Linked DNA regions of Xenopus tropicalis. The protein of the gene in region 2 purifies or fractionates together with the protein of the main gene of each other region. This does not show direct contact. Links are inferred from orthologs where the notes say so. Each region holds a gene or a part of one and is shown on either strand. Other genes may lie near its edges. The genes, in order: ptpn11, themis and grb2.

Evidence for each region.
Region 1: the proteins of themis (region 2) and ptpn11 purify together in Homo sapiens (co-immunoprecipitation; 3 studies listed by BioGRID and IntAct, counting the BioPlex papers as one, with this or other methods). This does not show direct contact. The link is inferred for Xenopus tropicalis from reciprocal best matches to the Homo sapiens genes THEMIS and PTPN11.
Region 3: the proteins of themis (region 2) and grb2 purify together in Homo sapiens (co-immunoprecipitation; 6 studies listed by BioGRID and IntAct, counting the BioPlex papers as one, with this or other methods). This does not show direct contact. The link is inferred for Xenopus tropicalis from reciprocal best matches to the Homo sapiens genes THEMIS and GRB2.

The regions. Positions count from the first base shown.
Region 1 is NC_030677.2:163,821,356-163,825,009, reverse strand, and holds part of ptpn11 (tyrosine-protein phosphatase non-receptor type 11), read right to left. Parts: intron 3,454-3,654; coding exon 3,337-3,453; intron 3,261-3,336; coding exon 3,147-3,260; intron 1,411-3,146; coding exon 1,314-1,410; intron 1-1,313. UniProt on the Homo sapiens protein: Acts downstream of various receptor and cytoplasmic protein tyrosine kinases to participate in the signal transduction from the cell surface to the nucleus. Positively regulates MAPK signal transduction pathway. Dephosphorylates GAB1, ARHGAP35 and EGFR.
Region 2 is NC_030681.2:68,102,192-68,106,274, forward strand, and holds the start of themis (protein THEMIS), read right to left. Parts: upstream 2,937-4,083; 5' UTR 2,848-2,936; coding exon 2,757-2,847; intron 1-2,756.
Region 3 is NC_030686.2:44,450,231-44,454,080, reverse strand, and holds the end of grb2 (growth factor receptor-bound protein 2), read left to right. Parts: intron 1-1,096; coding exon 1,097-1,219; intron 1,220-1,725; coding exon 1,726-1,930; intron 1,931-2,278; coding exon 2,279-2,464; 3' UTR 2,465-3,320; downstream 3,321-3,850. UniProt on the Homo sapiens protein: Non-enzymatic adapter protein that plays a pivotal role in precisely regulated signaling cascades from cell surface receptors to cellular responses, including signaling transduction and gene expression.

The DNA.
Region 1 (3,654 bases), on a different chromosome or scaffold from region 2:
CCGCAAAACTGGCATAGATTAATCTAAAACAAGTTCCCATAAAAGTACTTCATATCAGAGATGATCCAAAAGAATTGGGCGCCCGAGGCAACCCTTAGCAAACTTCCATTCTTGGTTCCAGTCCTCTGCTGCTGCCTCAGCTGCAAGAAACAAAATCACCAACCCTCCTCAACAGGTCCTTTGCCACTGCTACTGTAACTTGCACTAGCCATCCTTCATCCCCATTGCTTATTGCAAAATCAAGGATCTGAAGGAACAAATATCGCCCTTGGCAGGTGCCTACCCTGACTACCCCTTTGTCCAGTCCTGCTTCATATGAAAGGGACAGACTGCTTATGCATGAGTGCGTGTATTTGTATATACATTTAGGCAATCACCAAAAAGTGGAGATGCATTAAAACAGAACAATTGCCTTCTCAAAACCAAAAGCTATTTCTACTAATGACACAGCACTATGAACACTCACTTTGCTTGCTTGGCACAATAGTTCCTTATAATAGAGTGCTGCTACTACCTCTTTGTGGCTTAGTTGTCTGTTCAGTAATGATTATATATGGTTGCAGTGGGTAAAGAATACATCAACCACAAACCTAGTGCAGGTGAAAATAACAAAAACTAATTAGCACCTAGTCATTTATTATTAACAGAAACCTTCTGCGAGATCTGAAAAATAATTAGCAGCCATAAATTTACTTGTGCTACTGCAATATTATATATCCCACCAGGGTTTCTCTAGTTTTTCTTTCTACGTTAACTTTTTTACTCCAGACGTTTGTAGACAATAAAGCTCAAAGCAAACACACTGTAATAAAAAAGGCTTTTGGTTCAAGTAAAACATCGATTCAAGGCTTTTGGATCAAGGTTCAAAAATACCTGGCATGTCAATTCAAATAAATATATTTTTGTTCTTACCGACAAAAGGAAATCCTCAGACACCATTTAACATAAGACTGCATTACCACAAAGTTATTTCTGGGATTTTAGCACCCCCAAGTTGCATAAAAATAATTTAAAACAGTCATAATTAGATGCTTAACTGGAAAGCTCCAGGTAAAATATGTGGCCAAAAGTATTCCAATAACTGCCTTTCCAACTTCGTATTCCAAAATCAAGGGTATGAACTTGAGTTGGTGTTCTCTTTGCTGCTATAACATTTGCTACTCATCTGGGTAGGCTTTCCACTAGATGTTGGAATATTGTTACTGGGGAGTTTCTTTCTTACTTCATACAGTCCTGCCCTAGTTGAATACCAGCATGATAAATCTCACATCTCTTAACTAACATGGGGCAGAATCAAATCAGTCAGTACTCACAAGGTAATATATTCTTGTATCGGTTCTTATTTTTGTTCTCTTGTCTTTGTCCCTCTTTCCTGCTATACAGCAGTTTGCATTCTTGCTGTTGTAAAGTCTGAAAAACAAATATAACACAAAATAAGTAGTCTCACAGAATTCTTGGGAGGACTTCCCTTAAAGTTAAACCTAATCACACTAATCACAAATTACTGCTATTGGAGATCAAAACTGGCCAGTTAAAAAAAGGAGTCAATGGGATTCTGCCTGCAGATTAATGGGCATAACTACAGTACATATCTAAAATTTATTTTATTCAAATATCCATATTAAAAAAAGCATACACAGGATTCGCCTTACGTGTTTCGCACCCTTCTGGTACTTAGTCATAAGCAGTTATATCCCCATAAGTTCCAAAACAAGACAATTGCAATTGAAAGAGCTCAATGTTTACATATATATTAATTAAAAGACATAACTGCCTAAGAATACGCACAAGGCGGAATCCTCTGGGGTTTTTATTCTTTTTTAATATGGATATCTGAGTAAAATTATTTTTTTAAACTTGTTGTGATGAGTTAGTCATACTTTATTGATACGAACCACACTATTGTCAAACTCTTGAATCCAAGAACTGCTCTGTGGACTGCAGAGCGCACATAATGGCCGTGGGCCAAGACAAGACGAAGAAGTAGCTCTGACTGAATACAGGTAGTTAATTCTACTATAATACATGCTGTATTGCAGGCAAACTAAATAGTGCAAAGCAGTGATGGTGGGTTACTCTTGATTGGGCAAGGCTAAAAGGGGACCATATCAAATCAGGTTTACATGTCTCAGAACAGACAATATAGTCAGAAAAAAAAATCATTGGTGCTTCTACTTTATTATTAAAAAAGGCAGTGTGTTTTCTGCAGCACATAAGAAAACTTATTCTGGGTTCTAACACATCTAATTCAGACAGGAGTTCACAAAGCCATCTCAAATGTAAAGAGACAGTCCATTTGGTAATGAGTTCATTTACAAAGAACCACTATTTAAATACACTGGAAGCATGTTGCGGGGACATCAGACTTCCATATTGCTGCAGTTAGTTTTATGCATCGATAAGCAGCTGGATAATTAAATTGTAATTAAAGTTTTTTGTAGGTGTGGTAGCCCTTATGTTGCACATAAGGTTTTAACTACATTAATTACTTCTGCTGCCTTCAGAGGCTTTACTACAATTAAGGTTATGTATGAAAGCCTGTATTTGGAGATCTCTTCCTCTTTTCCTGTGTGTTAGTTCACTGTGTCTTTTCATTTAGGAACTTTCATTAAGCAGCGAATATAAACTACCTGCAATTTGTGTCATACACTGCAGTACAACCTAAGGAGTGCAGATCTAGATTACTGAGAGAATACTGCAATGCTGCAAAGTGTCCTGGGAAGGGGTATAAATAGCATGTCTTTAGTAGGAAAAAATTAAATTATATGCACGTTACAAAGACAAACATTAATAAAAAAAAACATCCTTAGTGCTTTTAAAGTCTGTAAAATTAAATGCTTTATCAGTAATCTTTCAAAATGTAATTACTGCAGCAATGGAACAAAAATGATGCAGAATCTACTTCTCTATACACATAAATCAATGGCCCCTCTTATTTTCATCTTTGTGTCCTAACAATCTATGATTGTGTTTGTTTGGAGAAATTAACTCCATAGCATATTGACTTTAATTATCATTAAAGGAAACTGATGGGGAGCATTCTAATGTTAAGCATCAAACCGTAACTGCAAATGAATATAAAAAAAACCACACAAATAACAGGCCAAACAGAGGGTAACAAATTGGACACAATACTATAAAAGTACCTCAAATTCTTCCCAGAATCCTTGCTTAAATTTATCTGCAGTCTCTGCTGGCTTGCTAAGTTCCTTTACCCGGCTTTCAATTTCTGCAGCATTAATCCGCGTTGTGTTCAGTGGCTAAAAGAAAAGCTAAATTCTTAGCATATGGGTAAATAGGTACAAGGGGTTAATTGTCATGTTTAATTAGTCTTACCTGTTTTAGCTGCAGTACAGTTCCTAAAGTCTCAACCATAGGATTTTTTTTATAATGTTCCACGAGATCTGTCAGAGAGTCAAATTTCTCTCCCCCTCCAACATCATATTTTAAATCCTGGAGAAAGCAGAAAAAAAATGCAAGGTATCTGCATAATACAATAATTCAATATACTAAGGGGCTGATTTACTAACCCACGAATCCGACCCGAATTGGAAAAGTTCCGACTTGAAAACGAACATTTTGCGACTTTTTCGTATGTTTTGCGATTTTTTCGGATTCTGTACGAATTTTTCGTTACCAATACGATTTTTGCGT
Region 2 (4,083 bases):
ACCCCCAAAATCTAACATTTCAAATTTCTTTCTATCTATCAATTGTAATTTTGCTGGTCTTTTTCTGTTCTACCTGTAATTTCTAATGCTGCTTGGTATAATTCTTTTAGTCAATAGAATTCAGCATATCATGTATGTATTAAATGCTACTAGGATATGCAGCACTGTACAATTTTACAATTTAGAAAAGTACATACAGGAAAGACAACATTATACAAAAATAATAGTAAATAATTAAGTATACATATGTATCGATTAACTGCCACGTGGTAAAAGACACAGTGGGAAAGGAAGTCGCTGCCCCGTAGAGCTTACTACCTAAGTGAGTAGTAACTTAGATTGTAATATGAGTAATATGGGTGTCTATCTTTTCTTACATTTGCTGAAATTCTGAAGTCACAATCAGATGTGTTCAGCATTAATCTTTCGGAACCTTCCTGTTACAGTTTTAATTGCAAGAGGATGTTGGTAGTTCTGCAGTACCTGCAGGATAGCAAAGGTGTACATTCACTCTTGTAGGGGTGTATTATTCCTGCGATAGACTTGGAAGTTGTTGTATTTTTTGGACCATTGCAGGTTAGATAATGTTGTCTTGTTTTTCTTTTGATACACAAAAGCCATGAATAGCTATAAACTTTATCCTTATGAAGGAAACCATAAGCTTTAATTACTGTTTAGTAATGCCACTTGTGTTACACGACCTGGGTATTATATAAAAGAAAATAACAGAGAAAATGTACCTACTCTTGTAAAATATGCAGATATTTGTATTTTTATTGTGGTGCAAAACACTTCAATCAACAATAAACACATAATTTTGAAACTAATGTATCTTTCTTGTGGAGAAAAATAACTTCCTTGCCACAACCAAAGTGCCTGGGTGCCCTGTTATCCTGTAAATTAAATCAGTACAGTACATACTTATAGGTACACACAGCATAAATTAGACCATATAAGGTTGTACTGTCCTTGATAGGAAAAATATTAGTGATCCAACAGCGTGTGAAGAAATTCCCTGTGCTAAACAGGTTCCAGCAAGGTGAGGAAGGAGAAAACCTGCAGGCAAGAGGACTAAGGCTGTTGCACGTTTCAAGCAAAGGCATTTCAACTGGGACAAAAGCAGAAAAAGGTTTTATTTGGCCCCTAGGAATTTATTTTCTTCATGTTACATGAAAAGTAATATATCATATACAGAACAGAAATTAAAAATGAAAAATTGCATTTTGCAATGTAATATTGTTTGACAGTTTTTACCCTGATAATTTTATTTATACATAGACCTGTCACAAGGCAGAAGCTTAAAAAAGTGCATTTTTTTTTCAGTGCCGGATGAGTTGTTTAATACTTAGCAGTTTGACAAAATGTATATTAAATACTCATTTTCATAAATCAAAAATAATTTGCCTTTCACAAACTATTTTCATTACATTCTCTGGTTAAATATTATATTCAATACAATAAAGAAGTCTATACAGCAAAAAAAAAAACTTAATGACCATTTGTTTATATATGTTGCTTGAATAACAAACTCAGCACTTTAATTTGGTGGAGCACTTTGGTGTTTCCCTTTCTGACCATTCATGCATTTAATTAACCACAGCTTGGTATAGTCGCTGCACCAAAGGTAATGTCATGCCTGCTGGAAACAAGATAATGAAGCAATTGTTCCAAACCGTGTTAATGTGAAAGCCCATGTGCTTCTAAGCCTGTGAGGTTATTTTGAGTTTTTGTTCATTTGTAATAAAAAAAAAAGTACACAAATAAAATCTGCTTGCAAAAGGTGATAAATCCAGAGGATGTAGTGTTAAGTTACTAATTGATATTTTGCATGCTAACAAAGACATAGACATGTTTTTAACCTATATGTGTGGTTCCTGTTATCTGAAATGTTTGGGATGTAGGACTATCCAGATACGGGGTCATTCCACTGGCGATTCCCTTTATTGCTGGTGGAAAGGCTTTTCTGGGAGATTAGTCACCAGCGGTACCAGAGATTTATCACAGGCGACTATTCTCCCCATGGGCCATTACCCTTAAGGCAATGGGGGGAAAATTTTTTTTAACACTGACTAAACCCAGTAGGAATGTTTTGCCATCAACATTGATTTATGCTGTCTTAGTCATTCTTAGATATAAGGTATTGCCTTTCTTTTACACAACAAAAGCACATCAGCCTAAAATACAGAATTGTGTGTTTAAATAGGACACAAAAGAAAATGGAAACTGCAGGTTTTTTTTTTTTATCTTTCTGGATAATTGGTTTCTTGACAGCAGTTTCCATCCTATACAATCTTGCCAATGTGATATACAGGTGTGGGACCTGTTATTCAGAATGCTTGGGATCTGGGGGTTTTCCGAAAAAGGGGTCCTCCATAATTTAGATATTCATAGCTTAAGTTCACTAAAAAAATGTAAACATTTAATAAACCCCAAATTATTATTTTGCCTCTAATAAGGTTTAATTATATCTTAGTTAGGATCAAGTATAAGGCACTGGTTTATTAATACAAACATAAAGGAGATAATTTTTAAAACATAAATTGAGATGGCCTTCCCGTTATTCGGAGCTTTCTGGATATCAGGTTTCCAGAGAATAGATCCCATTCCTGTACTTACTAAATAAATATTAAGAAATTAGCAAGAGCTATTGGGCACAGATGTAGAAGCCAGTCACAATGCCACGTAACAAAGCCTTTGACAACCTTCAACTCAAAGAGACATTATCATTTCTAAAAACAATTCTGTATTATAATTACCTCCATAATAATATCCAGATTGTATCTGCAGCACTCTTGGAAGTGTTTTTGGATCCAGAGTATTAATAAATTGCTCAAGTGAAGTTGCCATAATCCAAGGTTAGTCATGCAGCCCAAGCAAAGTAATTCTATGCACAGAGAGCAGAGATGTGTGGTATGCTGCTAGGGACACACTGCACAAGTTTGTAGTTAAGAGCTGCAGAACAGGAAGATGGTTTTGGTCATACAAAGCTCAAAGTTCCTGTTCTTACATGTCATAGACACCTGTATATAAGCAGAAAACACCACTGTGGTGTTAATAAATAAGGTTTTGTGGTAATATTGCTTTTGCTTTGACCTACATCGTAAAAGAAGGCAGAAATGTGGATTATAATAATGATATGATGATATAATCATAGCCTTTTTGTTTTGCAAACTTAAGGGGCAGGGCTAGTTTCAGACCTTTGGATTCTGGACAGGTACAGTAGCTTTAAACCGGACAGTCCATGAAAAAACAAACAGTCCAGTTAAAACCCAGAGGCAACCGTACTGCCAATTGTGACCCTGAATGCACATAGAATTTGCAGCCTGGGTACTGTACTGTAGATAGCACATCAGGAACCTTTTTATTTGCATTGAAAAGTTGGGAAAAATTCTGCTTGTCAGAGCACTGATCACAGGCAGATGATATGTGTTTGACTGTGAATGATGTGGGTGCATGTTGCAGACATTTTCCAAATCCTTTGCAATAAAAGCACCTGCCAGGAAAAAAATGTGCGCTAGGTCCAAAAAATGTGTTTTTTCTTTTTTGCTTATTTTTTTCTTTTGAGTCTATTTTGTCTTTTATTCCATAAAGTGTTCATGTGGCTTTATATTCCATTCTAAGTCCCTGGATCAATCCTATATTATTTGTTGTAATTATTATTCTAAAGCACTGGTTCACTAATGATTTTACCAGTAGCCTTGCATTCTCTCATTTGCTAAAAAGGCATCCGACCCTCTCTTACAACTGTCTAAAATATCAGCCTGTACAAACAGTTCAGGGAGAAAAAGCAATCATTTCACAGTAATGTTAATATTGTTTTCTTAAGGACAGCACTTGTCAACCTTTTTGTTTCAAAAAGCTGAGTGAAGGGTTCAGTAGTAAATATGCTCACAGTTGCTCACTAGGTGGTGCTATATCTAATTAAACTACATGAAAAATATGTGCTTACAGTATCTAGTAGAATTTAGTCTAAAGCAACCAGACTTTCACTACTTGTCTGAACAGCTCCAAGATTAGTGGTGAAACATTTTCAAAAAAACTCTAATAACTTAATTCTACTAGATCAGTGGTTCTCAACCTACC
Region 3 (3,850 bases), on a different chromosome or scaffold from region 2:
CCTGCACCCACAAGGCTCCCTATTTGCATCTGGGTGCAGGCAAGTTTGCGTTTTGGCACCGAAATCCATTCTGTGTGCCTGCACTAGGCCAACACAATGGCTCCGGTTGCAGAGGAAAGGCTGATGCCAGTTAGGGAATAAACACAGGCCGAGAGTCAGTCCCTTGTGGCATCAGCCTTGCTGTCCCTTTGGGCCGCCCATACAGAAATGTCCCTGGAGGAGAGGTGGATTTTTATCACTTATAGAGCTGAAGCTCTCAGAGTTGGAATTTGAACTGCAGACTGTTTGCTGGGGCTGTAATTAGAGTAGAGAGATAATGCAGCCATAACACCATAAATAAGGAATGAATCGTGCGTATTGTAGGCCTATCTGTATCAGACTAAGGGTAATGGCACATTGGGCAATTCCACCTGCCGTATTCACCGACTGCAAACTCCACTTGTGATTTTTTTTTTTTTCTTTAAAGGTTAAATTTCTCCACTTCTCATTTTTACACAGCGTTTTAATGACCATTTATTTCTGAAATGTTGTTCTGCCTTTCCTGTGTCACTGTGTCTTTGGGTGATTCTCCGCTGTGCTATGATTGTGCTACTCCCTGACTTACTCCACTGTGAAAATGTCATAAAATGCAGTTTGCTCCTTTTTTGTCAAAAAGACAAATTCACTTTAAATTGCTTGTGAATATGGTTTAGGAGGTTATGGTTCAAAGTAGAGGAAGAAACATTTGCACACTGTCCCACAAAGGCTCCAAATAAAGTGACCGTCTGTAGAAGATGTTGTGCAACTTCAGCATAGCACAGTTCCTTTTTTAAATTTGTGTCTTTGGGAATACGGAGAATGCATTTACATCTGTTTTACCATCACTTTTAGCCCCCCCAGAACAGACTTTTTCCACTTTTTGTGAATCCCCCCTTGGAATTGCACCATATACCATTTCTCTAACACATAACAGTCCCCTCTTGTGGTTTTTTTGCTTGCATGCTCTCCCTTTTCCTGTTCTTTTAATCTCCAGTTCTCTAATAGTATTTCCCGCTAGCCACAGCTCTCCCTCTGTGTGTTTTCTGCCCTTGAGTTTAATGGCGTTCGATTTCCGTAGGTGGTTTTTCGGTAAAATCCCCCGTGCCAAAGCAGAGGAGATGCTTGGAAAGCAGAGACACGATGGTGCCTTTCTGATCCGAGAGAGTGAAAGTGCTCCTGGAGATTTCTCCTTATCAGTCAAGTGAGTGTTTTTCTTATGGGGATCTGTATTTTTTTTGGCAGTGCGGTCATGAATAGGGCCTGTTCCCCTTTACAATAACTTTTAGTATGACATAGACATTAATATTCTGAGACAATTTGCAATTAATTTTCATTTTTTATGGTTTTTCAGTTTCTCAGCTTTTCGTTCAGCAGCTCTCTGCTTGCTAGGGTCTTGTTTACCTTAGCAACCAGGCAGAGGTTTCCGTGAGAGACTGGAATATGAATAGGAAAGGGACTGAATAGAAGGATAAGGAATAAAAAGTAACAATAATAAAATTGCAAGCTCACGGAGCAATAGATTTTTGGCTGCCGGGGTCAGTGACCCCCATTTGAAAGCTGGAAAGATGTAGAAGAGATAATAAAATAAAACTTAAAAAAATAATGAAGATCAATTGCAAAGTTGTAAGGAATAGGGCCATCTATAACATACTAAAAGTTACCTTAAACTTTAAGGAGCATCTGTAAAAATTCACCCATCTTCTTCAGATTCGGCAATGACGTGCAGCACTTCAAGGTCCTACGGGATGGAGCCGGCAAGTATTTCCTGTGGGTGGTAAAGTTCAACTCGCTGAATGAGCTGGTGGACTACCACAGGTCCACATCCGTGTCTAGGAACCAGCAGATCTTCCTACGAGACATCGAGCAGGTTCCACAGGTACACGGGGGAGACAGAGCCACGAATTTGCTACAGGTATATAGAGGGGAGGGACAGGCAAGAGACTGTGCTTTGGATAGAAGCGCGGTGCATTTATACAGCTTTGTGTGGGATATAATGTATCTCGTTACTAAAGAGGAACAAAATCTCATCTTCTCTGATAACATTGGGCCTTTTCTCACATTTCCCACCTACCTTCCTGCCTGTCTGGTGTGGCTATTTGGGTTCTGTCTGTGTATAACTAGGGTGCTTTGTGGTGCATATATATTTCTGCTTGTAGGAATGTTGTGCTATGTATAATAGGTGCATGCAGAATGAGGGAGGGGTATCCTGTGTTATTAAGGCTAAGCCCCCCTGACATGTCGATCTTTAACCTCACCGCAGCAACCGACCTATGTGCAGGCGCTATTTGACTTTGACCCACAAGAAGATGGTGAACTTGGATTCCGACGAGGAGACTTCATCCAAGTTGTAGACAACTCCGACCCCAACTGGTGGAAGGGGACATGCCTCGGCCAAACTGGCATGTTCCCACGCAACTACGTGACACCCGTTAACCGTAACATGTAACCAGAGTCGGCAAGGAACCAGTGGCCAAGGAGGAGCACAGGCAGACTGATCTGGGAGGCATTTCGGACTGACTGAGCGACCAAAGGGAGAGAAAATCTTTACCCGGGGGAAGCCAAGACAGACTGACCAAGACAGACAGATGACTGTCTAAATGCAGCCCCGCACACCAGCAAGGACAGTTTGCCCCGGGATTGTCATAAATACTCAATAACAGGATAGAAACATGGATAGATCATTAACTTGGGGGGGGTGGGTGGGGGGACATAGACATATATTGTAAGAATGCTTATGTTTTGACTGCCTCAATCTGGTTGGCTGCTGCCCTTTGACTGACAGATGACAGCATTGCAGAATAGCGCAGGGGGCGAGGGTGGGAATGGTACGCATTCAGTATAGCTCAAACCCAACTCTATAGACCGACAGACTCGACTGTATCGCAGATGTTATTGCTTCCTGGGCCTGGATCTGAGACGGCGATCCCACAAGTCTGGCTGTGCTTTGTGCAGCCGCCACGCACGCTTTCCACAAGGTGAACCCCTTGGCCCAACGTTGAACTTTTTTTTGGGTGGGAGGGCGAAGGGTCCGACCGACTCTCGAGGGGAAGGGGATGGGCGATTGTTGATGTTTGATTAAGAATGCCAAAACTTACCTTTAAATTAAAACAAAAACAAGAGACTTTTTTTTTTAATTAACAAACTCCCTTTACTGCTGCTGTTTCTTCCCCACGTCCCATTCCTGTTTCACCCCCCCCATCCTTATCATGCATGTGTTAGCCAAGCACTAAGTACACACGCCTTGGAAAATAAAATGCGCAGAAGTGAGAGCTGCCATATCCACTCATTTTCTCTCTATGCAAGTCTGGTTCTGCTGGTTTGATTGTAAGGGGCCACAAACTCTATCCCCCCCGTTTTTCTGGAGTAGGGAGCCCCCCCAAATAAACAAGGTTGGTGGGGGGTGGAGCGGTAGCTGGCACATATATGCCTGTCTAGCCTGGTGTCTGTTCAGCTGACCGGCCTCAGGCATCTTTACATGATATTGACATTTTGTATCTCACTCCCACAGTACAGACAGCAGTTGGCCTAATCTACTATTCTATGGTTCTGTCATTTAACACAAGTACTGGCAGGAAAATACGTTTGGGATTGGGGCTGGGAGGGGGCCAGCAGGGATCTGGCAGGGTATTGGTTATAACCTAGGGTTTTGAACGACAAGAGGCAAAGGACACTTTTAATATCACACAATTATTTCAATTTCTGTGAGGTTGCTAGGGGAATTCACCCTAACAACCTGGCAGTGGTTTGACTGACCGGGTAGGAATGGCTTTATGCTTGGCAGTAGCTTCAGAAGTGGTTCAGGGTAGAATGATGCAGAGAATCGGCCTCTGCC